Astyanax mexicanus: one gene and its partners. The main gene of each other region encodes a partner of the protein of the gene in region 4 in a complex. Links are inferred from orthologs where the notes say so. Each region holds a gene or a part of one and is shown on either strand. Other genes may lie near its edges.

Evidence for each region.
Region 1: lsm4 (region 4) and txnl4a share a complex: the UniProt entries of both Homo sapiens proteins name them as parts of the precatalytic spliceosome. The link is inferred for Astyanax mexicanus from reciprocal best matches to the Homo sapiens genes LSM4 and TXNL4A.
Region 2: lsm4 (region 4) and ppih share a complex: the UniProt entries of both Homo sapiens proteins name them as parts of the U4/U6-U5 tri-snRNP complex. The link is inferred for Astyanax mexicanus from reciprocal best matches to the Homo sapiens genes LSM4 and PPIH.
Region 3: lsm4 (region 4) and lsm5 share a complex: the UniProt entries of both Homo sapiens proteins name them as parts of the precatalytic spliceosome. The link is inferred for Astyanax mexicanus from reciprocal best matches to the Homo sapiens genes LSM4 and LSM5.

Annotation. Positions count from the first base shown.
Region 1 is NC_064410.1:755,258-763,340, forward strand, and holds the start of txnl4a (thioredoxin-like protein 4A), read left to right. Parts: upstream 1-4,954; 5' UTR 4,955-5,089; intron 5,090-6,269; 5' UTR 6,270-6,291; coding exon 6,292-6,444; intron 6,445-6,590; coding exon 6,591-6,694; intron 6,695-8,083. Other genes in the region: adnp2b (activity-dependent neuroprotector homeobox protein 2b), read left to right, coding at 1-2,804. UniProt on the Homo sapiens protein: Plays a role in pre-mRNA splicing as component of the U5 snRNP and U4/U6-U5 tri-snRNP complexes that are involved in spliceosome assembly, and as component of the precatalytic spliceosome (spliceosome B complex).
Region 2 is NC_064419.1:17,954,934-17,962,902, forward strand, and holds the start of ppih (peptidyl-prolyl cis-trans isomerase H), read left to right. Parts: upstream 1-4,737; 5' UTR 4,738-4,854; coding exon 4,855-4,920; intron 4,921-7,969. Other genes in the region: exosc10 (exosome component 10), read left to right, coding at 142-206, 326-387, 490-520. UniProt on the Homo sapiens protein: PPIase that catalyzes the cis-trans isomerization of proline imidic peptide bonds in oligopeptides and may therefore assist protein folding. Participates in pre-mRNA splicing.
Region 3 is NC_064422.1:19,671,073-19,679,094, reverse strand, and holds the start of lsm5 (U6 snRNA-associated Sm-like protein LSm5), read left to right. Parts: upstream 1-4,866; 5' UTR 4,867-4,978; coding exon 4,979-5,024; intron 5,025-6,581; coding exon 6,582-6,677; intron 6,678-6,801; coding exon 6,802-6,829; intron 6,830-8,022. Other genes in the region: late secretory pathway protein AVL9 homolog, read left to right, coding at 327-380, 658-746, 1,563-1,681. UniProt on the Homo sapiens protein: Plays a role in pre-mRNA splicing as component of the U4/U6-U5 tri-snRNP complex that is involved in spliceosome assembly, and as component of the precatalytic spliceosome (spliceosome B complex).
Region 4 is NC_064423.1:19,609,775-19,617,770, forward strand, and holds lsm4 (U6 snRNA-associated Sm-like protein LSm4), read left to right. Parts: upstream 1-4,957; 5' UTR 4,958-5,118; coding exon 5,119-5,121; intron 5,122-6,229; coding exon 6,230-6,271; intron 6,272-6,504; coding exon 6,505-6,603; intron 6,604-6,697; coding exon 6,698-6,881; intron 6,882-6,999; coding exon 7,000-7,100; 3' UTR 7,101-7,586; downstream 7,587-7,996. Other genes in the region: probable ATP-dependent RNA helicase DDX49, read left to right, coding at 554-677, 830-915, 1,086-1,207, 1,329-1,516, 2,452-2,592, 2,697-2,772, 2,886-2,962, 3,070-3,167 and 4 more. UniProt on the Homo sapiens protein: Plays a role in pre-mRNA splicing as component of the U4/U6-U5 tri-snRNP complex that is involved in spliceosome assembly, and as component of the precatalytic spliceosome (spliceosome B complex).

The DNA of each region.
Region 1 (8,083 bases), on a different chromosome or scaffold from region 4:
CTTGGTATTCCTTCAGAGCTCATATTCATCGCTGCCACGACGAGGAGCAGCGTCTCTGCAGCCTCTCCGTCTGTTCCGGCTGCCCGTTTATCGCCCACCCTAAGGTGATCGCCAAGCACTATAAACTGTTCCACGCTGAACCACCGAAACCAGAGTATGAACCAGTACCACAACAACAACAACAACAACAGTTGCCCACTAAAGCTATAGGGAGTCATATTTTCCAGTGCAGAAAATGTCCCTTTAACGATACTCTCCTGTACAGCATGAAGAAACATGTTCTCATTAATCATTACACCTCCCTGTTAAATCGCTTTGCCGCACAAAGGACTGAAAGTGAACTGCACGCTCTTGGGCCGATGTACCAGAAGTTTTTCTGTAAGGTCTGTGGTGCAAATGCAGAGACTTCTGAGCACTTGCTCTATCATATTCTAACTTCTGAAAAGCACAAGGAGTTGGAATTTCACATCAACGTACTCATTTTCGAGACTGACAACAAGAAAATGTTTCCCGCTCTTGCGCCGAAAGCGCAAGGTAGTCCCGTTATCGCAGGACCGACCAGCCAACCGATAGTGACTCCTGTTCCACCTCCAGGAGCGGTAATGCCGGGAGTCACAAACGGGGGTCCTAGACTGTACAGCCCCCCCGGGCAGAACCCAGCTGTTCTTCCCGCTCAAGCTTCAGCCCTCGTTCAGCTTGCCAGTGCTGAAGCAAAGGGTTTGCTGCAACCTGGCCAGCCAATGAATCTGCATAACGTCCAAGCTGCAAGAGCTGGACCTGCCACGGTACCTGTCATGGGAGGCATGGCACCTCCGCCTGCAATGCATCCGGTTATGCCACACCAGCAGCTACCAGTCAGGTTGGGAGTGCCTGGTCAGATGCAGCCTCCTTCCCGTCAAGTTCTGGTCCCGCCAGGAATGCAGTTCAACGTGCCATCTGTAAGAGGACCTCCACCACCACCACCAACACCGCAATCGTTGATTGTATCTCCACGGTTCCCTGTGAACCAGCCAACTCCTAGGGGCACCATGTTGACATCACAGTCTCTCCTAAGTCATCTGATTCCCACGGGCAACAAAGTGGACGGCCTACCTACCTACACTCTTGCGCCACTGCATGTTTTGTCTGTCCGGCCAAATAACATGCAAATGGCCAACAACGCGCCGTTGCCTGTGCCGCATCATGTCCCCACACTTCAGCACAACGCCTTGGCCAGCAATGGCTCCCAGGACTCCAAGCAAACCAAGAGATGGGTCACCTGTCCTGTTTGTAATGAGCTTTTCCCATCCAGCATATACGAATCCCACGTCGAGGTCCATAAAGAGGCGTCCAAGAAGACCAAGCTAGGCCTAGCCGCCCGAGCACCCTTCTTGAAGAAGATGCCAGACAAGACTGTGAAATGTCTGATGTGCAAGATCTTGCTCTCTGAAAAAGGACTTTTTGAACATCTGCTTCACGGCCTGAACTGCCTGTACTGTTCAGGGATGTTCTATTCTCTCAAGCAGCTGGTTGCGCACATCCAAATGGATCACAATCCCAACCAAAAGGCGAACTGTGACTTCATGAGGCGAGAGTATCGTCTTTACACTGACGAAAGTGGCAGCCTCCTGTTCCCTTACTTTGACATCAACACCACAGCGCCAAAGGAGATGATGGGAGAAAAGGAGCTTAACTTGGCTCTAGTCACCAACTCCCTTGATTTGATATTCTTGAAGATGCTGCCTGCAAGTCCTCAGCAAGTGTGCAAGATGCCCATGCCAAAACCAGACAGTTTAGACTGTGTTTTCTGTTCTGAAAAGCAGCTGAACATGGAGTGTTATCAGCTTCACCTCCGAGAGAAGCACTACATTGTACCTACCCTTCATGCTATACTCAAATCCCCGGCATACAAGTGCGTCTACTGTGGTGGAGTGTACACGGGGAAAACTACAGAGAAGGCAATCTCCGTCCACATATCCAAGTGTCGCTCTGCGCCCAAGACCCCTAGAGATGCCGAGAGGATAATGAGTTCTGGTCTAGCCGTTGCGCCCAGAGGAAGCCAAGGGCTGCTCTCGTTTCCTCCACCTCCAAGACAGTCTTCGATTCAAGTTCCAGCTCCAGTCCAAGCCTCGGTCCCTGCGATCCAGTCCCCGCATACAGCCGCGGAACTGCAGAGCAAGTTGAGGCTGGAGCTAGCCGTGAAGGAGGCCATAGCGGCAAACAAGAAAGAAAGAGAGGCCAGGCTAGCAAGGAAAAGGAAGTTGGAGAGAGACAGGTTAGCAGGTTTGACTCCTCCGTCGCCTGATATGCAGGTTGATCCTTCAGTGCAGTTCGCTTTGGACCCTGCTGGAATGGATATACGGTCATTTGAAGATCGGAGGGATTTTGTGAACAAGTACTTCAACAAACAGCCCTATCCGCTCAAGAAGGAGATTATCGCCTTGAGTAATCGCCTACTGCTGAACAAAACCGACATCGCCTGCCAGATCGGATCGAAGCGCACCAGATGCATGAAGCACCTGCAGAAAAACAGAGCCGCCGTGCTTTTAGGTTTCAAAATGACGGAGTTGTTGAAACTGAAGCACGACCTGGTTATTCCCCAGATTGAGCCGGAGAAGACCTCTGCAGACACAGAACCAGAATCCCCGGGTTCAGAATCCGCGGGATCAGAACCTCTGGAATCGGAAACCCAAGACCCAGATTACATGGAACCAGAAAGCCCGGAAGCACAAACGCCAGACCCAGAAAACATGGAACAAGACACCCCGGGAGCTGAAACCCCAGAACAAAATGGTCAGAGCGAAGAGGCCCGAGAGGTTGACTAGTTTTGTTTTGTTTTTCTTTTAAAGATGAATAAATAATTCAGAAACAGGAACAAATGGAGTGGGAGACTCCTCAAAACAATGCAAAAACAAGGTATATTGTATTAAAGGTAGATCAGTTCTCACAGGACCACGTTCATTTCCTTAGAAATCTGTGTAGACTCCTTTTTCTTGGAAGTAAACTTAAATAATAAGTTGAACTTACAGTGCATCTGGACTTATATGCTGTTCAGTAATATTAGTTTTAGTAGTCATTCTACACAGTACTGTTAAAACTTTGAGAAATGTTTTCCCATTACATTCAGACAACTCACATGTTTTACAGTGTGTTTATTACTTTTGCCTTCACTTTGTTTCTGTTCGTTCTTGTTTGTTTGTTGGTTTGTTTTTTACATTTTAGCATATTATCAACTTTTTATACCTGGATATTAATATAAAACTGAGGCGCATTTAGTTAAAGCGCTTTCATAGTAGTGTAGTTCAACGTATTTAAGAAGTTACCCGTTTTCTTTCCTGTACGGTTCCAGTATTCTGTTTAAGTGCTTCCTCATTTATTCTGTGCCTACATGATATGTCAGTATGGTATGTCAGTGTGTGTTACTTTACATAGAATTGTGCCTAAACATGAGTTTCCCTTTCAGCCTCCTTCTATCATGGTCTCTTACTCTCTTACTTCGTGGGTCTCTGGATCGGGATGATTTGAAACATTGGGATAGCGATAAGTCCTTTTAAATAAAGGCTTGGCCCTGAAATTGGTAGCTTACTACACCACTGTACAAGTTTCAGTAAACTGTTTCATTTCTCTGGCCTACCAGCCCTGAGGTACCACTCTGTTGTAAGCATGGCGGTCTGTTGTTTCATTGCCATTTGTAAGCATGGTTCATGAGCATTTGGTTTTTGTAATAGTGGAATGTAAGACTGTTAAAAGATTTAACATATTTGCTCACAACTTGATTTCAAGCTTATCTCTTTAAAAAACAAGGCAGATTGCATAGTGGAGCATTTGTAAGGGCACTATGTAAGAAAGAATGCAAAATAAAGTTACACCTTGAAACACTGTATGTGCTGTTAATGTCTGCTTTATTTTAAAACATTTTATTTAATATTTTGACTTCATACATCAATGCATAAGACATTTCTCAATAGTAATCATTTTGTATGGTTCGTTGTTCGTAAAAGTTTGATTCAGTATAAAAGACAACTGTGCGTAATACATAGGGGCAATTCTTTGAGATGGGTGATTTTAAGCTCATATAATATTTTCATCTGATAGTTTTAATTAGATAAGCCTTTGACCTTTTAATTTTTATCCAAAATGATGCATTTCCTTTAAGATTTTTTAGGCTTTTATATGTTTTCTGACTGTCCTGTAAATTATACACAAAGTCCAATAAACATTTACCTTGTGTTTCTTAAATATTAATATAAATTTGTCCAATATCGGGGTGTAATTCAGTGTGAAAAGTAGCCCTAATTCCACATTTAGCATCACAGGGTATTTGACTCATTGTTTTCCCCTAAACAATTGTTATCTATATTTTATTTATATAACTTGGTTGAAATACGTGATTGAAACACCTGAGTACCATGATTTAGGTGGGTGATAGAATTCTTCTCGCAATATAGACAATACAGGTGCATCTCAAAAAATCAGAATATCATTGAAAACTTTGCTCTATACTTTAATACTTCCTTTATTTCAGCAATTCAGTTCAATCTGCTGGTGTTGATCCACTGTGTTTTATTATCAAGTCTAAAGTCTTGTTTTGTTAAAGTCAGTTTTGTTTCCCCACAAAATCTTACAGCACTTCATATCTTACAGCTTCCCTCTGCTGACGATAACTTTCATGGAGATGCTGATTTCATTTTCCAGCAGGACTTGGCACACTGCTAAATGCACCAATCATTCTTGTATAATATTAACATTTTCTGAGACACTGCTTTTTTTGGGTTTTCATTGGCTTCAAGCCATAATTATCAACAATAAAAGAAAATAAACGTTTAAAATATATCACTCTGTGTTTAATACATCTATATAATATATGAGTTTCACATTTTGAACTGAATTACTGAAATAAAGTTACTTTTAATAATATTCTATTTCATTGAGACGCACCGGTATAGTGTACCCACGTTACGTGAGTACGCGCCTCCGTGCGCACGTGTGTGTCGTCACTTCCGTATCCTGCTCAGTCCGCGAAGAGCTCCGGCGGATGGGGGAGGTCTGATAGAGGCAGAGAACAGCAGCACAAATAAACACAAACTACACTGATTTCCTCTTACTGAAGGTAATATTCACGTTACTCATCTGTTTTACTGTACATTGTCCCTTTTAAATCTGTTTTTACTTACTTAAATCTTTACTTTTACTCTGTAAACGGGTTTAGATACCCAGACTAGTAGTAAGCAAACTACTTAGCTTAGCATAGCTGCCTGGAGTGTTCCAGAAATTTTAAGAAGCTGATATCTAAACTAAGCTAAACTCGGTTATCTAGCCTCTATTTAAAGTAGAGAATATAAAGTATAATCATGAATATACACTGTAACTGTGATTTATATTGAAAATAATTAATGCCTGATTAAAAAGCTAAAACACAACCGAGGAAAAAATGTAAATACAATCCACCAGCTGCATTATGCAGCTGTATTTACCAAAATTAAATGATCACTATTGCATTACATTTCACTGCTTTTCATCTCTTTATTAAAAATCAATACACAAAAAATTACATTTACAAAACCAAATACTGTTGCATTTAATCACTAATGTCAGGAAAACGAGCCGCAATTAAAAGTAGTTAGTCAGGAAACTCTAAAACACAGCTCACCGGAGTCACTAAATCATATTTCTTTTTCTTTTTATTCATCTAATTTTCTGTTTTTACCTTTTAGACTTTTAATTTGTTTTATTTATTTTATTAATTTTGTCTTTATATTTGTTGTTTTCCTTGTTTTACCTTTGGCCTTTAAGCTTTTTAATATCATTTATTTAATATATTTTATTATTCTAATCGTTTATCTCTTAATTTTATTGCTTTACATTTTAGCCTGTGCACTTATCCTTTTATTCAGTTTATTTGTATTTCTTCTTAATTAAATCTTATCTTGTTTTTCTAAAGCTTTTATAATTTCATTTTGATTTTGTTTGACGTTACTTATTTTAGGTCACATGATTAAATTCTTGCTTTTAATTTCTATTTAAATGTAAATTACCCTCAATCTGTTACTGCGTGAAAATAACGGTTAAATGATTCATAGTTAAAAGATCCGGTTACACCAATTTTAACTAAGCCCCCTAATTTTAGCCAACTCCACCCTCATGTGCAGTAGTGAGGGGTAGTTTGGAAAGGACAATGTGATGTATGGGTTTAGGGGTAGAAGTGAGAGCTGATTGGATTAAAAACTATTGATCTACAACATAACAGCACACATTCTGAACCATCATTCGTCTTTCTTGTGTTACTTTAGGGAAAATATTTTTTGAGCCAAGATGTCGTACATGCTTCCACATCTCCACAACGGCTGGCAAGTGGACCAGGCCATTCTGTCCGAGGAGGACCGTGTGCTCGTCATCCGATTTGGTCACGATTGGGACCCCACGTGCATGAAAATGGACGAGGTTTTGTACAGTATTGCTGAAAAGGTGACTACATGCTTGTTTATCTAAAATAATCATTACTTTGCTTTTGCTCCCAATTTTGCTTTTGTATCTTACTAAAAATGGGTAGATTTCTGTACTGTAGAATTTGTAATTTGTCTCATTCTGTCTTTTCTCCTGTGTAATCCCAGGTCAAAAATTTTGCCGTCATTTACCTGGTGGATATCACTGAAGTGCCAGACTTTAACAAGATGTACGAGTTGTATGACCCTTGTACGGTCATGTTCTTTTTCAGGTGAGTGTTTGCCATATGAGTCTGATCCTTTTAATTTATCAGTGTAAAACACTACACAGCTATTTAAAAATATCTCTCTAGTAATCTCTCTTCTTTTGTCTTCTCTTGATTGCATCCTTTTTTTTGAGACAATGTTGTGAATTTCAGAACACAAAGCTTAAAATGAGCTTAATCAGAGTGTATTAGCTGTAGTAATCCTTTTTAAATACATCATCAGGGTTTACATGAACCACACCACATATAAATGAAGGTTGAGGCTGTGTAAATTTTAGATTTTACCCACATGCATTTACACCTGATAGCCTTCAGTTAGTCAGAAGGCTAAGAAATAAAAGTGACACTGTGTAAACAGGATTATAGTGTGGTTCAAATGGTCGGACTAAATACATGAAAAGTATATATTATAAACTAGTGCTGTATTATATGAGGATAAATATTGTGGGGACGATAAAGTGTTTATCGTGCTATCCCTATCGTTTTTCTACAGTAATTTCATCGATTATTCATGCAAATTAGGGTTGGGCGGGTTTTCAAAGTGTTTCATACTGTCATACGTAGGCCAACAATAACAAAATTTTCAGGACGATATATTGTCCCAGAAATTATTGCGATAAACGATAATATCGTCATTTTAAAGCACCACTATAGATTTTATTTTTTGTTTCCTGCTTCTGGGCTCCCAAAGGTGCTTTAAGACAATGTGCCACACTAATAATATACTAGCATAATACTATTACACCATTTTACAGATAAACTAACTTTAAATTATTAAGTGCAGACATTGGGCTCCCAATATAAAAATATTTTAATATCCTAAATAAACAAATAAAGTACACCCACCCTGGGTTCTGAAAAAACTGCACTAAATATTAAACCCTTATTGTAAAAAATAAATTAACAACAAATAGATTAATGTAACATTTACATTAATTATTAAAAAAAAAAACTCTGAACACACGGGCACTTGCAGATTCCTTTTTCTGATCATATATGTATTTATGCAGTAAAACACACATTAGCTTTGTGCATATGATCAAAGACACACAGATAGCTCATCAGGCCAGAGCTTTAGCTAGAAATGTATTTTTTAATGTAACTGTCAGACAAATTCTGAGCAAGAAACACCAGCATGTTTACCGTGTGGGGCTTGAGGCAGGATCTCTCTGGGGGAACAATTTTTATATTCAGTATTCAGCTGGATGGTTGTGCTTTAAATAAGATCTCAGGTTAGTGGCTTTTGTTTCCACTGTTGTGAAACAAATAAACATACCGGCTGATTCGTGCTGATGGTTCTCCTCGCTCATTTGGCTTAAAGCCAAAATACTCCTGCAATACTCCCGCACCGGAGCCGCGGAATACAGTTTTAAAACACAGCCAATCCCGGACTAA
Region 2 (7,969 bases), on a different chromosome or scaffold from region 4:
CTCAATAAGCTGGGCTTTTTGAGACCGTCTCAAAAAGCCCAGCTTATTGAGTTTCCTCTCTTCCAGGTGTGTGTCTGTTTTTAAGCTGTGTGTGTTTGTGTATTAAGCCACGGTTTTACTTATTTTTGCTTTGTTCTGCAGGGGGTAAACCCAATGACTCCAAACACTTTGACCCAAACAGACAGTCTAATGAATTCAGACGGAAGGTACTATTTTTTTTATTTTTATTCTACAATAATGCTATTCATCTCAGTCTATAGACTGCAGTTTAATATTCAGTTTATGAGAGGATGGAGATAAAATAAAACTGTTTATTTTTTCGTAGAAAAACCCAAGAGGACACAGGCAGGGTCCTGGAGGCAGAGGCATGCCTGCCAAGTCCGAAAGGTAATAGAATACATGGATTATTTTGCCGGATTCTTTAAATATTAAGTAGTATTAATTTATACAGCATTGTTGTATGGTATTAATACATTTGTATAATTCCAGAGGATTTCACCACAACTGGCCCAGGAGATAGAAATCTTCGCTGGACACTTGCCCTTTTAAGGGACCTTCTTCTGTCTAAATTGTTGTTGTTTTTTCTTTCCTTTTTTATGTGGGTCATTTTATTAAATTAATTATGGCTTACATGCTACATGATGCTGTACTATATGTTTTGAAAGAACTTTCATTAAATTGAAATTTTAAATGATGTTTTCTTTTTCTGATTTTGGAATTAAAGCTTATTGTGTGTGTGTATATTATAAGTATTATAATACAGATTATTGCACTTTATTGCACCTGTTAATTGAGAGCTTTTAAATTAATCTACCTTTTATATAGTATTTTATATAGAACTTATATACACTGCTCAAAAAAATAAAGGGAACACTCAAATAACACAATATAACTCCAAGTAAATCAAACTTCTGTGAAATTAAACTGTCCACTTAGGAAGCAACACTGATTGACAATCAATTTCACCTGCTGTTGTGCAAATGGAATAGACAACAGGTGGAAATTATTGGCAATTAGCAAGACACACTCAATAAAGGAGTGGTTCTGCAGGTGGGGACCACAGACCACGTCTCAGAACCTATGCTGTCTGGCTGATGTTTTGGTCAGTTTTGAATGTTGGTGGTTCTTTCACACTCGTGGTAGCATGAGACGGACTCTACAACCCCCAGAAGTGGCTCAGGTAGTGCAGCTCATCCAGGATGGCACATCAATGCGAGCTGTGGCAAGAAGGTTTGCTGTGTCTGTCAGCGTAGTGTCTAGAGGCTGGAGGCGCTACCAGGAGACAACAACCGAGCAGCAGGACCGCTACCTCCGCCTTTGTGCAAGAAGGAACAGGAGGAGCACTGCCAGAGCCCTGCAAAATGACCTCCAGCAGGCCACAAATGTGCATGTGTCTGCACAAACGGTTAGAAACCGACTCCATGAGGATGGTATGAGGGCCCGACGTCCACAGATGGGGGTTGTGCTCACAGCCCAACACCGTGCAGGACGCTTGGCATTTGCCAGAGAACACCAGGATTGGCAAATTCACCACTGGCGCCTTGTGCTCTTCACAGATGAAAGCAGGTTCATACTGAGCACATGACAGACGTGACAGAGTCTGGAGACGCCGTGGAGAGCGGTCTGCTGCCTGCAACATCCTTCAGCATGACCGGTTTGGCAGTGGGTCAGTAATGGTGTGGGGTGGCATTTCTTTGGAGGGCCGCACAGCCCTCCATGTGCTCACCAGAGGTAGCCTGACTGCCATTAGGTACCGAGATGAGATCCTCAGACCCCTTGTGAGACCATATGCTGGTGCGGTTGGCCCTGGGTTCCTCCTAATGCAGGACAATGCTAGACCTCATGTGGCTGGAGTGTGTCAGCAGTTCCTGCAAGATGAAGGCATTGAAGCTATGGACTGGCCCGCCCGTTCCCCAGACCTGAATCCGATTGAGCACATCTGGGACATCATGTCTCGCTCCATCCACCAACGTCACGTTGCACCACAGACTGTCCAGAAGTTGGCGGATGCTTTAGTCCAGGTCTGGGAGGAGATCCCTCAGGAGACCATCCGCCACCTCATCAGGAGCATGCCCAGGCGTTGTAGGGAGGTCATACAGGCACGTGTAGGCCACACACAATACTGAGCCTCATTTTGACTTGTTTTAAGGACATTACATTAAAGTTGGATCAGCCTGTAGTGTGTTTTTTCACTTTAATTTTGTGTGTGGCTCCAAATCCAGGCCTCCATTGGTTAATACATTTTATTTCCATTGATGATTTTTGTGTGATTTTGTTGTCAGCACATTCAACTTTGTACAGAACAAAGTATTCAATGAGAATATTTCATTAATTCAGATCTAGGATGTGTTATTTGAGTGTTCCCTTTATTTTTTTGAGCAGTGTAGTAAGTTGTTTCTTATTTTCTTAAATTAGAACCCTCTCAGGTTTTATTTGAAGGTAAGGAAAATATGTTGTATGTTTTTGTATGAAGAAAACTCATGGAATCAATGCCAATTACATTAAAGGGAACATTGTTTTTAAATTGATAAAATGATTAAATACGTTCGGTAAAAACTGAATGGTAAATTATGGGACCTATGCATTAACCCAGAAAAGCTCATGTGACTTATGTATCACAGACCCTTTAAAAGCTGTTCAGTATCTTACAGCAGTCTGTCTATTACTTTAACTTATGAAGTCCGTAAGTGACACAAAGTGGCTTGCAAAAGTATTCATACCCCTTTAACATTTTCTCATTTTGTCACCTTACAACCACAACCCTACATTTATTTTATTGGTTTTAAGTGATGGACCAACACAAAGTAGCACATAATTGTAAAGTCAATAAAAAATTACATTTTAATCAAATAATCTTGTTTGATGTGCAAAAGTATTCAGCCCCCCTATATTAACACTTAGTAGAGCAACCTTTCGCTGCAATTACAGCTGCACATCTTTTGAGGTATGTCTATCAGTTTTGTGCATCTAGAGACTTAGCTCAAGCTTAGTCAGGTTGGATGGAGAGCGTCGATGAACAGTAATAAACATCTCGTCACAGAAGCTCAATAGGATTTAGGTCGGGACTTTGACTGGGCCATTCTAACATATTAATATTCATTGATCTAAATCATTTCACTGTAGCTCTGGCTGAATGTTTAGGGTCACTGTCTTGCTGGAAGGTGAATCTTCTTTCCAGTCTCAAGTCTTTTGCCTCCAACAGGTTTTCTTTTTCAGGATTGCCCTGTGTTGAGCTCCATCCATCTTCCCATCAACTCTCACCAGCTTCCTTGTTCCTGCTAACAGAAGCATCCCCACATCGTGATGATGCCACCACCATGTTTAACAGTGGGGATGGTGTCAGGGCAAAGAGCAGTGTTACTTTTCTGTTACACATAGCGCTTTGCTTTTAGGCTTGTGGCAAACTTCTTATGTTTTTCTTTCAACTATGGTTTTCTTCTTGCCACTCTTTCATAAAGGCAAGATTTGTAGAGCCCCCAACTAAAAGTTGTCCTGTGGACCTGAACTGTGGATTTTTGCAGCTCCTCCACAGTGACCATGGATCTTTTAGCTGCGTCTTTGACTAGTGCTCCCCTTGCTTGATCTGTCAATTTGGGTGGACAGCCATGTCTTTGGTAGGTTTGCAGTTGTAAAATACTTTATTCCATATTTTGATGATGGATTAAACAGTGGTCCTTAGGATGCTCAAAGTAGGAGATATGTTTTTATAATCTAACTCTGCTTTAAATGTCTTCACAATTTTATCTCTGATCTGTATATTGAGTTCCATGGAGTAAAGGGGGCTGAATCCTTTTGCACATCACACTTTTCAGATTTTTATTTGACAAAATTTTGAGTGAATCATTTTTCATTCCACTTCACAATTACGTGCTACTTTGTGTTAATCTATCACCTAAAATCTTAATAAAATATGTTTGTGTGTGGTTGCAAGGTGACAAAATGTACGCCCCATAGATGACATTATTTCTGGAATAAAATGTTAAAAAAAAAATTATGACACTTATGTCATTCACATTACATCATGATTTTAACTTTACAATATTTACAGTCATCTGCCCACAATAAAAAACAAAACTATGAGCAGCTCACTAAATTTATCTGATTCAATTTTGATTGATTTGATTGGTATCAGTTTTAGATTATTATTATTATTTAGAAATTGATATGGGTAACAGGAACTATTATGTAGCTCTGGGGACTTTCCCTGTTATTTAAATAAAGTTTTAGATAAAATTTTTAGTCCTTTCACACTTTAATTCATTAATTTCTGTTGCCACATTTTTTAGTTGGTGGAAGATAATTGGTTCATTTACTTGTCAGACAACAGCCTGAGTAGTGGGAGGGGCTAGGAGTAGGAGCAGAGAGAAAGGAAGAGATTCATGGGGCACAGCTGCTAGACTCCTGCTCAAAACATGTCCAAAATGTGTCCAAAGGGACAGTTAAACCACCTGAGTGACACTTTAAAGCATCTTTCATGAGGTAAATTATGTTTCTGTGCACACACTTTTAGGTTAAATTGTAGGTAAAATTAGGAGTTAAACTATTTGTAGAAAATACACCAGAATGCAGGAAAGGGCTTCTAATTATTAAAAGGAAAATCTCTCCCCCCACGTTTAAAGTAAAAATAAAAACATGTACTGGTCATTTCTGCTTTAAATTGGGGAAAATATTAAATATACCAGCTAGTCTTGAGGCGTTACGAAAATGGTTTTCGGTTTGTCCCTCGTGGAGCCTCGTAGAAATGTCCAGTCGCGCTTGCCGTAGCGGAGCAGTTTGAAACGGGTTCCTGTGTTAGCGTGAAGGAGAGTGAAGTTTCTGTTCTGAAGTTTTTTTAACCTGCAGTTTTACTCCAGAATGAACGTTCAGCCCTCAAACCCCAACAACCCCATCGTCTTCTTCGACGTGACGATCGGAGGGCAGGTCAGTGACTCCAGCAGCCGCCCTGAGCGCGCGAACAGCGCTGCTGCTGCTACTGCTCGAGCTGTGTGAACAGTGTGTGGACAGACTGTGTGTGTGATGTAGTTGGTGCTGTAAAACGTGGTCAGATATCTGAATGGCTTTAAAAACTGAAATGAAAAGTATTAGCTGCTGTATTCAGAGTTCACATTACAAGCCACGTTGCTCAAATCCGATTCTTGCTCAGTTCAGATTCGGTGACGGTTCACATTCACAAATATAAGTGACCTGTATCTGTGCGTAATGTGAATGAATCTGTACATTGATTTGAGAAAAACGTAAACGTCGCCTTCTTCACCACCAACAAAAAACGTCATATTTGAGAGACGACTCGTAGCTTTATAAAGGTGAAATGGATGCGTTTGTCCGCAGCGCATATGTGGAGCATCTTTTGCTGGACCGTTCACATTCTTATTGCATGTCCGTGGATCGGATACGTATCCGATTTAGGATCATATATAAAATTGACTTAAATTTAATTAAAAAAAGGAAATTGGCACGTTCACACAGCTATAAAAACACTATATTTGAGTCACTTCAGTTCAGTTTTAATGTAAACGTAGCCTTATAGGAGTTCCATAGAATCACCAGCGCAAACAATGTGAATCGTTTAATATGGTCAATAAACTGGTCTTTATTTAGACTAGACTTACCTGTTCTAATACTAGAATCGTAGAGACAGTGGCTAACTTATTTATTATAATTATTAATTATATTATTATTATTATTATTATTTCATTATATTTACATTTATTTTATTTTCGATTTTTATTTAAATGACAGTTTGAATCAGTAAAAGGGAAAACAAACTCACAGTACACAAAAATACAAGGAGCAAAATTAAATATTTTTTCATGTACAAATATACCTTTAGTCTTTTTGTTAGGTCAAGGTATAAATACATGTATAAATTATTATTACTAAATAAAAAGGTCTGAGGTTTTCCATTTACAGATGAGAATGATATGTACCCAAAATTATAATGACATTAATTCTTATTCTAGTCGTATCTTAGTGTTTTCTGGTCCGCCTGCTCTCTGTAGCACATACTATCTTTCACCTGTAGATGGCGCTGTTGCGACAGTTTCAGTTGTTAATCTGAATGCATTTAAATAGGTTTGTTGACCCATTCACTCCATTATAAACTGTTTTATAAATAGATATATCAATACAATTTTAAAAATGAAGGCTGAAAAAAAAAAAATGTTAAAAATAATTACACAGCAATAAAGGGCAACATTCACTGAACCTCTTAACAAATATACAGTTAGGGCCATAAATATTTAAACAGTGACAAAATGCTCTTAATTTTGTTTCTGCATGCCACCACACTGGATTTGAACATCTGAACTGTAATTAAACTTAATTGAATTTCAGATTAAATTCAGGGGGTTAAACAAAAATATAAATATAATTTATGAACTTTACCATTAATAAAATGTAAGTTTTTTATCTTTTGTTGAGAAACATTTTCAAGCAATGACTGCCTGAACTCTGGAACCCATGAACATCACCACACACTGGGTATTTATCCTTTATGATGCTTTGCCAGGCCTTGTCCTGCAGCTGTCTTCATTTCTAGGCATCTCTTCCTTTAGCTGTCATGATAATTATCGTACATTATCATATATTTTCCTCAACAGTGCAGTTCTAATCATAAATGTGCCTCACCAGTGCGAGTCTAATCACATATTTACCTCAACTGTGAATTCAACTTAAACTAAGCATAGGTGGTGCGAAATGCTTTGTTTAATTTCATTTGTGAGTAGAGCATATAATGAACTTGAACCTGCAGTTTGTTTGCTCACTGCATTGTAAATAGCAGGTCTCTTATCAGCCCGGGGGAGGTTTTGGTGGTGTTTGGGTGTGCCGCTGCTGCTGCAAAAATCCTAAAGTAAAGAAGAAATGCTGCACCCCCATATTTAACTTACTTAAATTTGTTATATGGAAAACAAAGTAGTTTTTTTTTCTTCCTTTTTTGACCAGATCAATTAGTTTACCCAACGTTTTTTGCATCTCTTGTTATTTCCTTGTTTAAATTATTTCAGCTTACAATCACTACAGAAACTGTGGAATGGGGGGCCTGCAGGGCAGAGAAATTTCAGAGTATTCATCCCTCTGCTAGACCTGTTGAGCAGGAAATTTGGGGATGGGTTCATGAGGATGTCTCTGTTTACATCTGTAGTCAGTGTCTGTTTGATGTTCATATAACTTTTAAATACACAGTACTAGTTCCAGTATTCAAAAAACACCCCAAACTCTTACATGCTTTATAAATAAAGCATTAAAAAGTATTGGAACACCATCTTATTTAATGTTTTTTCCAAAATCCAAAAGAGAGTTTATCCTGCTTTTTCTGAAGCAACTGGCTCTTTTGTCCAGAGACGGCCTTTTACTCGATTTTTATTTTTACAATTAAGGCTTTGATTGCATTCAGTGGTAGTGAAGTCAGAATGTTGGATGATCAAAAGCACACTTAAAAACGTGTAGGCTTTTATTATATTAATATAATTGTATTATATTTATTATATCCCATTCACCTATATTGGCAAATTACTGTGTGTATGTATACAAACATAAATCAGATAAAAATTCAGTCTGTATCACTAGATCCTTATTTTTAGGTCATTCCTACACTTGTATATTAAAAACCTAATAGCATAGTAGTGCATTTATACCCTTTTAAAAAGCAGCAAATGTTTAATTAATAATAGTGTAGAAGTTATTTACATTTATTTTTTTCTGTGAAATATTTTTATTATTTAATGTCCTCAAGAACACATATTGTAAAAAGGCTAAAATATGGGCAATCTTAAGATTATGCCCCTGTATTGCAAAGTACGTTGATAATGCAAATATTTTGACAGGCTGTAAAGCATGACAAAGTTCATCTCGCCGGTTGGGTTGAGTCAGTTGGTAGACAGACGGGTGGGCCACCAGACAACTGTGATTTGTGAATCATTAGTGGTGACTTGGAACTTGATTGAGACACATTTACCCATTGTGTTTACCT
Region 3 (8,022 bases), on a different chromosome or scaffold from region 4:
TTTGAGTTTTGAAAGGTCTGCATATTTTTTTGTTATTTCAGCCATTTCTCATTTTCTGCAAATAAATGCTCTAAATTGCAATATTTTTATTTGGAATTTGAGAGAAATGTTTATTCTACTGAAACATAAACCTATAAATAGCAAAATCAGAGAAATTGATTCAGAAACTAAAGTGGTCTCTTAATTTTTTCCAGAGCTGTATATGTATATCCATTTATATATTTTTTGGCACAAATTTGACTACAAATGCTAAACTTACTTTTGCCTTATGTGAAGAAATGTTAGTTATTATGTTATTGATGTAAATGTCTCCTCTTTCCTATCAGTCATCCATTCCAGGGACAGTATAGTGTGGCTGATGTGAAGCTGCGCTTGTCACAGTAAGTTCTGGACTCAAACGTCTTAAACTCTTAAACTTCTGTAACTTTATTTTTAACTCTGCTACTTTGCATTATTTTAGTATGTAAAAATTGACTCCTATAGAAAGTGAGTAAAGTGACTTTTTGATGTTTGAGTATGTAGAGTACTAGTGCAGCCTGAAGAGTTGTGTAGCTCGTTGTTGTGGGGAGGGTAAATAATATGCTTTAAATAAGTAGTACGACTTAAAAATAGGTAGTATTAATCAGTGAAAGTAATTTGAGTGTGTTTTTGTTCTAGTTCAGTGCAGAACAGTGAGCGGGGAAAAAAGCTTGGGAACGCTGTGATGACCACCAGCCGCAGTGTGGTGCAGACTGGAAAAGCTGTAGGTATGTATGACTAAGGACACACACACACATACACACACAAAATAATTTAGTTTGTTTGTTTATTTAACAATGGAGATTGGAAAGGGTTGCACATAAGAGTAAATAGTGTAAACAACAAGAATGCCAAGTTAATAATATACTGTAATTATCTTTTAGTATTATGAGACAAATACTGGTACTGCTACTACTACTGGTACTGCTACTACTACTACTAACTAAAATTTTTATTTTCCCAATTTGACCAATTCTATATAATTATAGTATTGCTTTTTCTATTTTCAATAGTTTTGTATACAAAAATATCTCCAAATATTTTGACACAACAAAAAAAATAATCATATCGTGATAGGAGTTATATTCTAGTTATTATATAATAGTAATATTCTTAAACTAATTGGTATTTGTTTTGCTTGTGCTTTCTGTATTTACATTTAATAGTTTGGTAAGTCTATGAAATAGATGTATTTATATTACATTTAATTTATAAAACTGTATATTTATTCTAAGTAAATCTTTAATGTTTATTTTGTTGTAGTAGTGTGTGTTTGAATTTTTTTTTAAATCATATCGTCAAAAAAAATATTGCAAGTGTAAAAATTTCCTAAAAATATTGTGATTATTTTTTTATGGCCATATAGCCTACCCTAGTACACTGTAATATTTGTTTTAGAATTATGATAAAATCTTGTTCTAGATTTATCTGCCACAAAATGCTTCATCTAAAACATTGCTTTTAATATTTTCAACTGTACTACAAATTTATGTGCACAATTTTCAGATTATTTATGAATATATGTGTACATTTCCCCTGCCCAGGTCAGTCAGTGGGCGGAGTTTTCACCAACGCTAAATCTGCCATGTCCTCCTGGTTCTCCACACTGGCCCCGCCCCCAGTGACCAATCCACCTTCAGACTCTACAGCAAACAAACAGTGACCTCTTCATGCCTCATTCACACTGTTCACCAGGATTCATCTTCACACTTATGGTTCTGGATGGTTTACTGTATTTTTATGATCACAGCATAAGTTTACTTTTACCTTTCTTCATCTTTTAGGTCAGAGAATCAATGTTAGAAGCAGTTCTACTGTTCAGCTTCAAAGTATTCAGTCTCGAAATGATTTAGAATTTGTCCAGTACACTTCCTACTTCCTTTAGCCATCTTTAAGCATCATCATGTCTAACCAAAATAATTAAGTACTGAAGCTTGTTGCCTTTAGCAATCCAGAATTATTTAAATATTCTACAGAGCTACAAATCATTATCAGAAATATTAACATCGTATTTGACATAAGATGAGTGGAAATAGTAACACTGTCACTGAGACAAAAGGGCAGTGTGGATTATGCTGATTCTTTTGCTTGTGTTTTAAATGAAGTACTTTTGACAGTCTCAGGTTTAGTCGCATTGACTCAAAGAAAGAAGGGATTTTACATTTGTAGCCTAAAAATGACATCAAACTATTAAAAACAACACACATGGAACTGAGAACTCAGAGATTTGCTCTCATATAACCATTACCAAGGTTTTAGAAACTGTATAGGCAGTTTCTTACACTCACAGCTTCTTACACTCACAGTCCATTTCTGAGGCTAGGATTTAAAAGCCCAAACAGCTCTGTAAAAATTAAGAGACCACTTCAGTTTCTAAATAATTTTCTCTGATTATAGGTATATTTATTTATAGGTATATGTTTGAGTAAAATGAACATTGTTCTTTTATTCTATAAACTATATACAACATTTCTCCCAAATAAGTTCAGAAATCAATATTTGGTGGAATAACCCTGGTTCTTAATCACAGTTTTCATGCATATTGGCATGTTCTCCTCCACCAGTCTTACACACTACTTTTGGATAACTTTATGCCACTCCTGGTGCAAATATGTAAGCAGTTCAGCTTGGTTTGATGGCTTGTGATCATCCATCTTCCTCTTGATTATATTCCAGTTGGTCAAATAAAAAAAAAACTCATCATTTTTAAGTGGTCTCATTTTTTCAAGGGCTGTATATTCAATGCCTTTCAATGAAAAAACTCTTCTGTTTAGCTGATGAGTTGACTCAAGTGTCTTTAATGATGTAAAACTCTAAAACCCTGCAGCACTGTGGCCTTGAGTCAACAGAGCTGGCCCATTCCAACCTGCAGTTTTAAAAAATATATGAATAGTTAAGAAAGCAGAACATAAATGTATGTGTGAAATTGTTATATAATAAACAGAGTATATACTATAATATAATGTAAAGTCTCACCATAGACTATTTAAGTGTTAATTTGTTTGGTTGGTTGGTTTTGACCATTTTCTGGGCTGGTTATCCTGTTTGTTTTCCTCGGAACATGTTTAAAACGTATAAAATGGAATATGGCTGCTGTGCTCTCATGTATATGTATCTAGTTTCTGTGTCATTAGCTTGTGTTTAGATGTCTCAAAACACACACACAGATTGTGTTTGAACAATCCTTGTGAACTCGTACAAGGCTTCCCTTCTAGGCTAAGTGAACCAGTACGTACCTAATGGCCTTATTTAATATGGCATTTTAAATTAATTAAACCATTTTCCCTTCTTTTGTCTCTCTCATATTGGTTATTAACACCAAAAACACATCTTTTATATCTGTTTCTGTTTTCTCATTTTCTGTTCGTTTGTGCTATTATTGTAAAATAATGGTCATATCTAATGGGATGACATGATCAATTTTATTGTTGTTCTTTGTGTTTAAATGTAGAGTGATTTCTGGTTAGTGTTTAAAGGGCCCATATCCTTGATTTTTAAACTATAAATAATGCACCATATTGTTTTTTTTTTTTTTTTTTGTGAAATTTTGTTCCATTTTCTCTCTTCTCTGTGTTGGAGCGGTTTATTTATTAATGTCCTTAAATTGCTTTTCACTTTATATTGAGGTATTTAGAGATATATCAAAAATGAACTAATGATGCAGATGCTGTTTATTTTTTTGGTGATCTACAATATTTACACATCATTGAGTTCCATCTATTAAATAAAATACTTTTGAAGACCTTATTTTTTGGATTAATGATTTGTATCTCTTTATGGTGCACATGAGAGGAATAAACATGTACAAGCTGTGCTGTATAAAAAAAAATATATATATATATATATATATATATATATATATATATATACATACACTGTTCGTGTATAAATGTTTACAGTAGAATTTTGCAGACATTGACTTCTTTTTGAGGTTTGTAGTTTTACTGGAAGCTTTAGTTTTAGAGTACCCCTCACCAATACAAAAGCACAGAACGAAATGCTGAGTTTAATATTGTTATTAATAATAAGTGTTCAGACTGTTTATTTACATTCTTATATTTAATTCAGTTTAACTTCTTTTATCATTTTGGCATGTTTTTTTGTTTTACAATCACACAAACCACTCTGACATTAAACGTGCTGTAATATTAGGTATGAACAAATCATTCATAAAGCCAGAGCTCTAAAATCTAGTTAAACCTGTCAAGGCTTTTAAAAACATACTGAGCCTTATGCCATAATGATACTGTATATACTCCCCAAATATGCCTTTGTGGCCATAAGGTCTTGTGAAAAAAAAACACATAAAAAATAAATCAAATTCAAGAAAAAGCATAATTATACCACCCCTTCTCATTCGATGTGTTTTCCTTCTTTTTATGATTTTTACATTGCAAATTTAATATTGAAGACATTAAAGCTAAACAGAAACTCATGCACAATAATTATTTATTATTTTTTATTGTCCCTTTCTACATGGCAAGAACATGTTAGGCTATAAGAAATGACTACAAGATTACCACATTTAACTTTAAGGACAGATTTAGGTTTAGTTTTTTTTAAACTACATATTTGTCATATGTGTTCCTGATTTGTTTTATGCCTTTAATGTTAATATGCAATGTAGAATAAATAAATAAATAAAAATACAAAATGAGAAGAGTGTCCAAACTTTATGCTGGTACTGTAGATATTAGAACAGTAAAGTAGTTAAGTTACATGGGTTTCTGTCGTGTTAGCTAACGTTATATTGTGTTTGTGAGTTCTGTAACTATCTATGAGTTTGTATGTTTTTTTGTATGGTTGCTTCAAGCTCAAAAATCAAGCTTTAAGAAGATTTTAACCCCCGTATCCAGACGCAGGCTGTGTTTCTGAGATGTTTTAACCCCGCCAGCAGGGGTCCCTCCTCAGATTCTCTAACAGTAGTTCTGGTTTAGTTCGGGTTCAGATTGTTTGCAAAATGGCGGCAACAGCGGCTTCAAACCCGTCCCAGCTCCTTCCTCTCGGTATGAAATGTTTAATTATATCAGATTAGAGACAGAAACAGCGGGTTAGAGAGAGTAATATCAGCAGAAGGGGTTCAGATTATGGTCTGATACGCATTTGCTGGTGTATAAAAGCTGTATAGGGTGTAAGTGGGCTCTGATCTCTTCACTGAGAGATAGAGGTGGGTAACCCAGGTCCAGAAAGTTAAAATCCATCCCAGGGTTTTGTCTCAGCTGCCTGTGCGGCTCAGACTGTTGCTGAGCTGCAGCTGAAAAACACAGCAAAACTCTGGGGTGGATTTTCAATTTCTGCACCTGGGTTACCCACCTCTAATGAGTGAACAGTGCAGGTTAATGAATAGAATATTAAATAAACGTTGTTTTTGTTGCATTAAGTATTTTATTGATATTAATGAAATAAACAAAATTTAGCCTTAATTAAACATCAACATTTCCCGAGTACACAAAGGCATCAGTATAATTATTGATAAAATGTTGGTTGACATTGAATCTTTTGAATAATTGAAGCTCTTTTACACTCTCAATTAATGTTTTTATGTGAAAGGTGCTCCCCACAAATAATAATATTCCTGTCATTACGTATCACAACATTTTAAATAAAAAATAAATTAACAAAATAATGTTAGTAATAATAATCTTATTTATATATTCAGTTTAAATATCAGGTTGTTACATTCAGTAGAAATAAACAAAAAAAATACTAATACCCATAATAACATAAAAATGCTTTCAAGAATACTTGACTTTATCATGATTATTATTATTATTATTATTATTATTATTATTATTATTATTTGTGTGTGTGTGTGAGAGAGAGAGTTTTGTCACATTTTTTTGCGATGTTATTGCATGCGATAGGATTTGGCGCACCCCTTCTTTTAATAATTAATAAATAAATTACTTAGGCTATAAGAAATGAATACAAGCAAGACATATTTAATTAATGTAGGTAAAATTGAATAAGAATAATATATATCTCACTTATTCTTGAGAATTTGAATAAAATATGTCCCACCAAAAAAGTGCTAATGGTGTTGGAAATAAAAACATTTATAAAATAAAAAGACTCAGGGGGATTTGATAGGACAGTTATTTTATAGGACTATTTACATTTTTATTCATTCAAGTCGTTCTATAATGTTCTGGTCTATACCAGTGATTAATACACCTTTGAATTACCTGATGTTAGCTGGTTGACCAGGCTTGCTGTTGACCAGCACAGGGTACGTTTCCAATCTTATGAATTTGATGGTTTCGCTGCTTTACGAGCATTATCACACTGTCTCAACTCTACTGGTTGACCAGCAATTCCAGCATGACTAAACATGATCAGAATAAAATATATACACTGCTGATCATGCATAGGCCATGTTTTTGCCTGGATGAACAGTAAAACCCATCTAAACAGCTGCCAGCTAAAGCTAGCATCATGCTTGAATTTTCAGCAAGGTGGTCACAATATTGAAAAAATGTTTTACATCTGATAAATGATAAATACTTATAAATGTTATACATCTTTATAACCACACACACTGTTCTGTTCATTTTCTTTTTCAGAGCTGGTGGACAAATGTATCGGCTCCCGAATTCATATTGTTATGAAAAATGACAAAGAGATTGTGGGTACCTTACTGGGTTTTGATGACTTTGTCAGTATCCTTTTACAGCTTTTTATTTTCCGTGTGATCGTTTCTGTCTTGCATTTGCAGCAGCAATATGAACACATTAAATGTACACAGACTGTACTTACACTTGCTTCCTTTACTAATTAATTCAGACATGGTACTTGAGGATGTAACAGAATTGTAAGTATTCATTTTTTTATTATTATTATACAGACACCAAAACAGGATGATAAGTACTGTGATGCAGGAAGATAACAAAATCCAGCATGATTTATTCATTATTATCATCGTTATTATTTTCAAATTACAAGATCCTACTTCAAACAGTACACCAGTCATCCACTACATTGCAAGCTCACATGAGTCATTAGTGTTTTGCTGAATTAGGTCTACAACACCACCAGAAGCTGAGCAGTAATGTCTGGCCCCCACTTCCCTCCAAGTTCATAGGATTGTACTCACAACAGCATTACTGATATCCTAACAGCATATGAACCAATCAGCCTAATCCCATTTTACCCATTGGCCCTACCACTTCCCCTTCCCCTTTCTTTTCAAGTGTAACCCTTTCCCTTGGAGCAGAGTTACAAGAGAAAGGGGTAAAATTCTCCCCCTAAGAATTGGTACAACCGTCATCAGGTGCGCTAAAGTTCAGTAACCTAGCTGTTGGCTAGCTAGGTAACTTTAGGGCATTGTATGTCTTTAAAAAGGGAGGTAGTGCAGAAATTAATTATTATTGTCAATTCCTTTATTCCTCTGTGATGGGGAGCTAAAATTAGCTTTAATTTATCTTTTCATTCCACCTTAAATGCTGCAGCCCCTGCCATCTGTTGCACCATTTAAGGTGGAACGGTGAAAGTTTGCTAGCTAGACTCTGCCCTGCTCCATCCAACATTCGTAGCTGTTACCACTGAGTAGATCTTTCAGCTACTACTGACCGTTCCTTCATGACTGTCATGAAGGAATCTATCTGCTGGCAACTTCCAATTTTGTGCATCAACCATTTACCAATATCAGTATGCTGCTCTCTCTCTACATTACACTGCCTCTTGTGAACAAATCTAATTGCTCTTCTGCCATTAAAAATGAGGAAGTTGTTAATCTTTAAAAGCTTCTTATCAAATGTATCTGCTAAGTGACCTAAATACCTGATTATGCCTCCACATATGACCCTGTGATTAAATGTCCTTTAAAGTTTCTGTATTCAGTATGAATTATATGAATTATTTATGTTTTTGTAATATTGCAAGATTTTGCCATCTTCCTGTATTATGCTATTTATTATGTTACAGTTAGGTCTGGGTGATAATACAGACATTTTGGATATATTTTCTTTCTTATTGTTTTACTTAAAAAGAAAAGTAAAAAGTAAA
Region 4 (7,996 bases):
TAAGCTGAGTATGGGGAGGAATTTGTCCACAAAAAATGTCCACATTCTCTTTGCCAATGCAAAACTGCTTATACTGCCATTGGTTTGTTTGGTGTGTGACGATAAACTCGGGCTGACGTCTTTTTGGGATTAAAGTTCCCTTTTTCTTGTAAAGTAGCTAATTTGTAGAAGGTTTTTATGTGACCGTGACTCCATACAAATGACAATACATTTAACTGTACTACTAGACAATCTTGACTATCCTGTTTATCAAAACCTTTGCAATATCTTTATGTTAACATGCTTTACTGGCCTTTTCTTTTAAATACTTGATGCGGTCATTCACTTCGCAAGGTGCAAGCAGGGTTTAAATAGCTCTGATCAAAACCCTTTATGTGGTCAATATTTGGCTGAAATGCCCTGATTCACTGACAAACTGAAAACGTTTTATGGCCACTACTTTGTAAATCATATATACAGTTACTGAGTAATCAGAGTTGCTTAATTGCCACTGTTTTTAAAGGACCACAATATTATTAAAGGGCCATAGTAACTTTGTTTCTGTTTTCTGCAGGTCGGGATTGTATGGGCTGTGCGAAAACTGGAAGCGGCAAAACGGCAGCTTTTGTTTTACCAGTGCTTCAGAAACTGGCGGAGGATCCCTATGGAATCTTCTGCTTGGTGTTGACACCCACAAGGTTGGCTGCCGCTATACAAGCTTTTAGAGAGAGTTTTTAATAAGAATGGAAAAACAGGAATATTACATGACTATAATTATTGCATATTGATTATATGTGCTTATGCTATATGTGTTTTTCTTCTCTTTCTTCTCTTCTTCTCTTCTCTTTAGGGAACTGGCCTACCAGATAGCTGAACAGTTCCGGGCACTAGGGAAACCACTGGGTTTGAGAGACTGCATCATAGTTGGGGGAATGGGTATGACTGCATATTGAAATAATGCATGACATTGAAAATAATAAAGCTACCACAGTTAGCTGGGAAATAAAATTAAAGCCCTGTTGTATCTATTTATTGTCCTTATTAATGTATTTTGTAATAATTTTGAAAGAGTTTGTAAGAAAGACTTTTTTTTCCCCCCCCAAAAGACATGGTGGCCCAGGGTCTGGAGCTGTCTAAAAAGCCACACATTGTTGTTGCCACTCCGGGGAGATTAGCAGATCACATTCGGAGTTCTGACACATTCAACATGAAGAGAATCAAATTTTTGGTAAGATCCACACTCATGAATGCATTTGTGCAGTTTTTCTATTAAAAATGGAATGTGGCAATTGTTCCATGTAAATGAAAATATGTGTTTATTGATTTGTTGTTAAAACATCTTTCTTAAGATCTTGGATGAAGCAGATCGTTTGCTTGAGCAGGGATGCACAGACTTCACCAAGGACCTGGAAGTTATTATCAGTGTTGTGCCAGCAAAACGGCAAACGCTGTTGTTCAGCGCCACACTAACGGACACACTGCAGGAGCTAAAAACCATTGCTATGAATGAGCCTTTCTTCTGGGAGAACAAGTCAGAGTAAGGAATCACATTCACAAAGTTAATCAGGAGAATTTTCTTCTAATGTTGTTAGAATGCTTCCTGCCAAAGGAAATATAAACCTAAATTCAAAGATTTCTGTAATTAATGCTTAGATATTTAAATATTACATTACATTACATTACATTTCATTTGGCAGACGCTTTTGTCCAAAGCGACTTACAATAATGAAGTACAAAAGTAATAGGAATTTAGATAACCCATTTTTAGATAGGGCTTAAAGGAGGTCGAAGGGAAATAAAGGGATAGAGAAGTGAAGGAGGGGAAGAAGGAAATGGGGTTAGAAGTAGTTAGTTTGTTAGAGGTGTTAGGAGAGTAAGTGCTCTTTGAAGAGCTCTGTCTTCAGGAGTCTCTTAAAGATAGCGAGAGATTCTCCTGATCTGGTAGTGGAAATATCTAACATATATAATTTTACTTGATTGTATATAATATAAACATACTGTATCATTTCAAATTGTTTTCTATAATATCCCTCATGTTCAACCAAATATTTGTCTAGAAAACACAGTTTAGGTAGTGTTATGTATCATTTGTTACCTGAAAATAAGCTGTAATACTAATGCCTGTAGTAGTGAGAATAGTGTCTGCCTCACTGCCACCCTGGGCTTGCCACAGTGGTTTCTGCATTATGTAATTATGGTGCAGTGGGCAGGACAATATTTGTGACAGTTGTGTAATGCTGCAGTACCTATGTAATAAGTGGTATTGCTCTGTTCCATATGTTTTCAAAGAACAAATAAGGAAATATGGCATGAGAGGCAGCTTAAAGTGCAGAATACACTTTCTGACTTTAGGTGGATTCCAGAAACAAGAAATACAAATTCTCGTTTATTGCTACTTTAACTTCTGTCAGTAGTTACATTTCCAACGAGCATAAATTGATACAAATATTATTTATGCATTTCTCTCTCTAGGGTCCGAACAGTGGATGAGCTTGATCAAAGATACATCCTTACACCTGAGAAAGTCAAAGATGCTTACTTGGTGCATCTTATTCAGAAAATCCAAGATGAACATGATGACTGGTCAGTCATGATTTTCACCAACACATGCAAGTAAGTTCTCCTATTTAATATGTATGGGTATTTAAAACTGAAGGTTTTGCAAACTGCAAGTATTTAATTTAATTTGAGATTTTATTGATTTTTTTCCTTTTTAGAAATTGCCAAATTCTTACAATGATGCTTCGTGAATTTAAATTTCCCGCAATCTCCCTGCATTCCATGATGAAACAGGTATAGCAGATATATGCATTGTATTATACACTAATAAGGATATTTATAGTATGTTTAATATTAATGTTTTTATATGAATGTATTTAAGTCATTGGTACTTTTGTATTATTTAGAGACAACGATTTGCAAACCTTGCCAAGTTCAAGTCCAATGTTTTCAAGATCCTGATAGCCACAGATGTTGCTGCCAGGTACTTTTTGACCCTGAGTGCTATTAAATTTGTCTGTTTTTAATTAACTTATCGATAATATATCTAAAATGTCAATAAAACTGTGTTTGTTTAATTATTTTTTTCAGGGGTCTGGATATTCCTACAGTGCAGGTTGTCATTAATCATAATACTCCAGGACTGCCTAAAATCTACATTCATAGAGTGGGCAGGACTGCCCGTGCCGGTGTGTATGTTTTTTCCTCCAGGATTAGTCCAATGTTTGGTTTTGCATTAAAAAGCAGTCCTTAATTGATGTATTTTGGATTTCAGGAAGAAATGGTGTTTCAATTACACTGGTCACACAGTATGACATTCATCTGGTCAATGCTATTGAGGAGCAGATCCGTAAGTGCACAGTTAAAGCAATACGTTTTTTGTCTGTTCAATTATTTTCATATGAATCAGTATTACATAGACATACTAAGTAAAGCCAATCTCTGCTGAGTATTTAAAAGTAAAGTATTTAGCAAATTTGGACACATAGTAGCGATCCTTTTTTTAAGCTATTACAGAAAAGCATTTATGCACAGCCTTTGCATAGAGTTTTAGTTATTTAAATGTTTTGAAATAGGGACTACAAAGTGCAGATGCTCTATATATTTTTGACACCTGCATGTGGATATCTGCTTTTCTTTTTTTTAGAGACCAAGCTAAAGGAGTACCCAGTGGAAGAGAAGGAGGTGCTAAAGATCCTTACCCAAGTGAATGTGACGCGACGACAGTGTGAAATTGTATGTTATTTTTCTTTTCTTTTTTCTTTTTTTACACATGTGAGTCAAATCAATGATGAATAAATGTTAAAGCTGTATTTATTTGTTGTTTGCAGAAATTGGAGTCAACAGACTTTGGGGAGAAAAAGGAAATAAACAAAAAGAAGAAAATGATCCTAGAAGGGAAAGTAAGTAGGCTCTAACTACTGTTAGTGAAATGGAAGGATACCGTTTTGTGAACAAAGAGCTGATATTTCCACACTATATGGTATAATAATGTGAAAACAGGTTGTCAGCAAATGCTTTCGTTTTTAATGCTGTTTTTGTGGGTTTTTTTCCGCAGGATCCTGACTTTGAAGAGAAGAGAAAAAATGAACTTGCTAAAAGAAAAAAGGGAAAAGCAGAAGGAAAGGGGAGAATTCAGGAAATTATTCATCAGAAGAAGAAAGGAAAGCTTGTTAAAAAGAAAGGAAAGAAAACCAAAGCCACACTTCCCAGACAGTCATAAATCTGCATGTTTAGCATTGACCGCTGTACATTTTTGTGCATATGTGAATAAATGGATCATTTTTTGCAAAGGTTTAATTTGTATTAAATGTATTTTTTAATTAACATTTTGTAAATGTTTACTTGTTGACACAATAAATTGCCATTAATTAAAAGGATGTAGTGTGAATTAGAAATTATTTTAGTTTCCTTTCCACACCTTGACGAGATTCTGCAAGAAAGCACAGCCATTGCCTAAATTACCTGGATATTGTAGGTAGAGCTGATAAGGGTGATGTAAAGGGGAGGTAAAAATATATGTATGGGTGCATAATGACAAAAGAGTAGATTTTTATACAAAACAAAGTGTACATTACGAGGTTCTTTGATTTTACCTAATTGAACATAGCTGGAATATAACAGAGGAAAATAGATGATCACAAGCCGAGCTGAACTGCTTGAATTTTTGCACCAGAAGTGGTAATAAAGTTATCCAAAAGCTGTGTGTATGACTGGTGGAGGAGAACATGCCAAGATGCCAGACAACTGATTAAAACCAGGGTTATTTCACCGAAAATTGACATTTTTATTTCGAATTTGGGAGAAATGTTGTCCGTAGTTTATATGAAAAACAATCATGTTCATTTTGCTCTAACATATCCCTATAAATTGCAAAATCAGAGAAACTGATTCTGAAACTGAAGTGGTCTGCTAATTTTTCCAGAGCTGCATATTTATCCTGACCGACTTTATTGAGCTTTTATTTTGAAGTTTGCCGGAAAGCGCATTAATAACCCGGATGAAGCCTAGTGGCGCTGGCAGAGTATGATGCTTGAGCCGCTTTTTGTTGAACTGAAACTTATAACAGATTATTTTCCTTTAGTTACTGCGGTTTAATTTATAATTTATATAACTATATAGTTCGTTCAGCCTGCCGACATGGTAAGTACATACTCTCATTTAGCTGCACAGTTAATTTACACCATCCGCCGGCACTGCACCGCTGCTCCAGTAGCTTAGCTAGGTTAGCTTAGCATAGTTAACTTAGCGAGTCGCCGTTCAGTAACATGAGCTAAAGCGTACTGAGCTCTCCGTTTTTACAGGATTCAAACCAGCTTCTTAAATTAACCATGATAATCGAGAAACAGGTTCTGCAGATGTTAATGTTTACATATAATGCGAATGCCACTGTATTTAGCTAAGCTACATAGGTTAGCTACCAGCTGTAAACTGCAGGCTAAAATAAACTCTCTGTGAGCGCTGGAGTGGAGGTAAAGATTCGTCAATGTTGTGGATACTGAATATATATATATATATATTATATTATATTATATTATATTATATTATATTATATTATATGAATAATATATTATAATATAATATAATATTATATTATATTAATAGCTTAAATGTTTTCCTTTTAATGAAAACTACCACTCCTGCTTAATTAACCTTTCCAAAGTGTACTTTGGTTCTCAGACACCTGGCAATATGCAAATCAGTCAATACCACACCATCCCTGCTGACGTCTGCAGGGCACACTGCTGCTCAGCCAATCAGCTCTCTCTCCTGCCCTGTTTCTAAACCCATACATCACCCAATGCCCCTTAACTACCCCCAGCTTTAGCTGAGGGTTGAGTCAGCAAAAATCAGGGGGCCCCTTTGATGAAAACCCCAGTTTCAACATCAAATGCAATATTTCCGACAGGACTAGAACGCAGCATAAGTGCATTAGTGGGGTGTATTAAGTGGTTCACAGTTTTCATTTTTGTAAATTATGTGGTAAGGATTTTTTATTTGCAAGTACTGTAATATAATTTGAGTTTGAGGCAGCATTGCATTCTAGCTGTTGTAATATGTTGCACATAGCTGTTTCAGTACCATAACCATCTGAAGGTCTCACTATTAGTCCTATTGATTTTAATTTATTGCAGTGCAGAATATTGAAAAATGTAATGTTTTTCAACATATTTTGACTAGAATTTTTTTTGTTTTTACAAAAATGTTTATCTTACTGTTAGCAAAGAGTAAATTGTTTTTTTTCTTACAGCTTCCGCTATCTTTACTGAAAACAGCACAAAACCACCCAATGGTATGTACCAAATAGATTTTTATATGTAATAGTCTGTTATAACCTAAAAACATGTGTCTAGCCTTTGTTTAGCCTGACTGCATGTACTTGAAATGCTAAGCACTTTTAAACAAGGAAAGGAAAAATTGTTTTTCTGGGTTGCATGAGATTACTAAATGTTCTAAATGTTATTTAGAAAAGTATTGTTTGTATAGTATTGTTGGCTATATGTGTAATGTGTTTTTTATTTCTAGCTAGTGGAGCTGAAGAATGGGGAGACGTACAACGGTCATCTGGTCAGCTGTGACAATTGGATGAACATTAATTTACGAGAAGTCATCTGTACCTCAAGGGTAAGTAGAGTCAACAGTTAATTAGGTATACCAAACTCATGGGTCAGGTTATGTACAGTTTTTTTATTAGTGTTTGTACATTTGTTTTATGCAGGATGGAGATAAGTTCTGGAGGATGCCTGAATGCTACATCCGAGGAAGCACGATCAAATACTTGCGAATCCCTGATGAAATCATTGACATGGTTAAAGAGGAGGTTCTCTCTAAAGGCCGTGGCAGGGGTGGCATGCAGCAGAACAAACAGCAGGGAAAGGGCAGAGGAGGCGGTGCTGGCCGAGGTAAACAGAAATGGCTATATGGCCCAAAAAATGTTAGAAGAATTGCTGTTGGTCAACAATTGAGTACAAAATAATTTAGCATTTGTACAGTGGATGTAAGTGTAATTTGTTTTCTCAGGTGTGTTCGGGGGCCGTGGAAGAGGGATGCCAGGCACTGGCCGTGGACAGCAGCAAGACAAAAAGCCTGGTAAACCACAGGGAGTCAAAAACCAGCACTGAACACACAGTATCATTTTCTTTTTTTGTCTTTCGCTGTAGTTTGTTGCTCTTACCCGACGACTTCCGTCTAACTTCTCATCGCATTGCAGAACCCACAGTCTGATTTTAATGCAGCAGTTTTCTTTTTGGTACAGATCCGTATAAAAGATACTTTTGCATCACATGTATCATGGGGGTTTTCTTTAGACAATAAAAATGTTAGTTTCTTCGTAGTTCATGTGATATGCAAACAAGAAGATTTTCAGGTTTCAACGCCTTTCACAGGCATTCATTATAGAAAATAATTTTGTTTAAATTGAATTTGAGTTTGGGATGCCGTAGATGTTTCAGATTTTAAGTTCATCACTTCATACACAAAATGGCATCCTTTTTGTCACAGTAACTAGTCTTGGTTTAAGTGTTTTGGTTTCCGGTTTTACCACCTGATTTGTCTGTTTTCATATGATATGCAGTGGACTTAAGATGTCAATAAACATTTTTTGTTAAGTTTTGTTTATGATACTTTATTGGCTGAAAGAATGAAATTTTTAATGCCGCGTATACATATTAGGATCCTGAAAGCATGATGCAAAGCACTATGATGCAAACAAAGGTATTTAGAGCAGTTTGATGTGAAATGCAGCATTCTAAGAAACTGTCTAGTCAGAAATTGTAAAAACGATCTAGACATTCCCACCTTTTCAATTGTGTTCAAGTGTTGGCAAATGTTTTCTGTAGCTACATATAGGTATTATTTATGGTTTATTTTGGGTTTTGACCAATGGCTGCCTGTAGTTCATATGTTCATGTAGTTCATATCATAGGCTTTAGATGAATTTAAACTATTTAAGTTTAAGTAAATACTAGTTTATAGTTTACTTTATTTGTATTGAAATATATGAATAATGTCCTCTTTG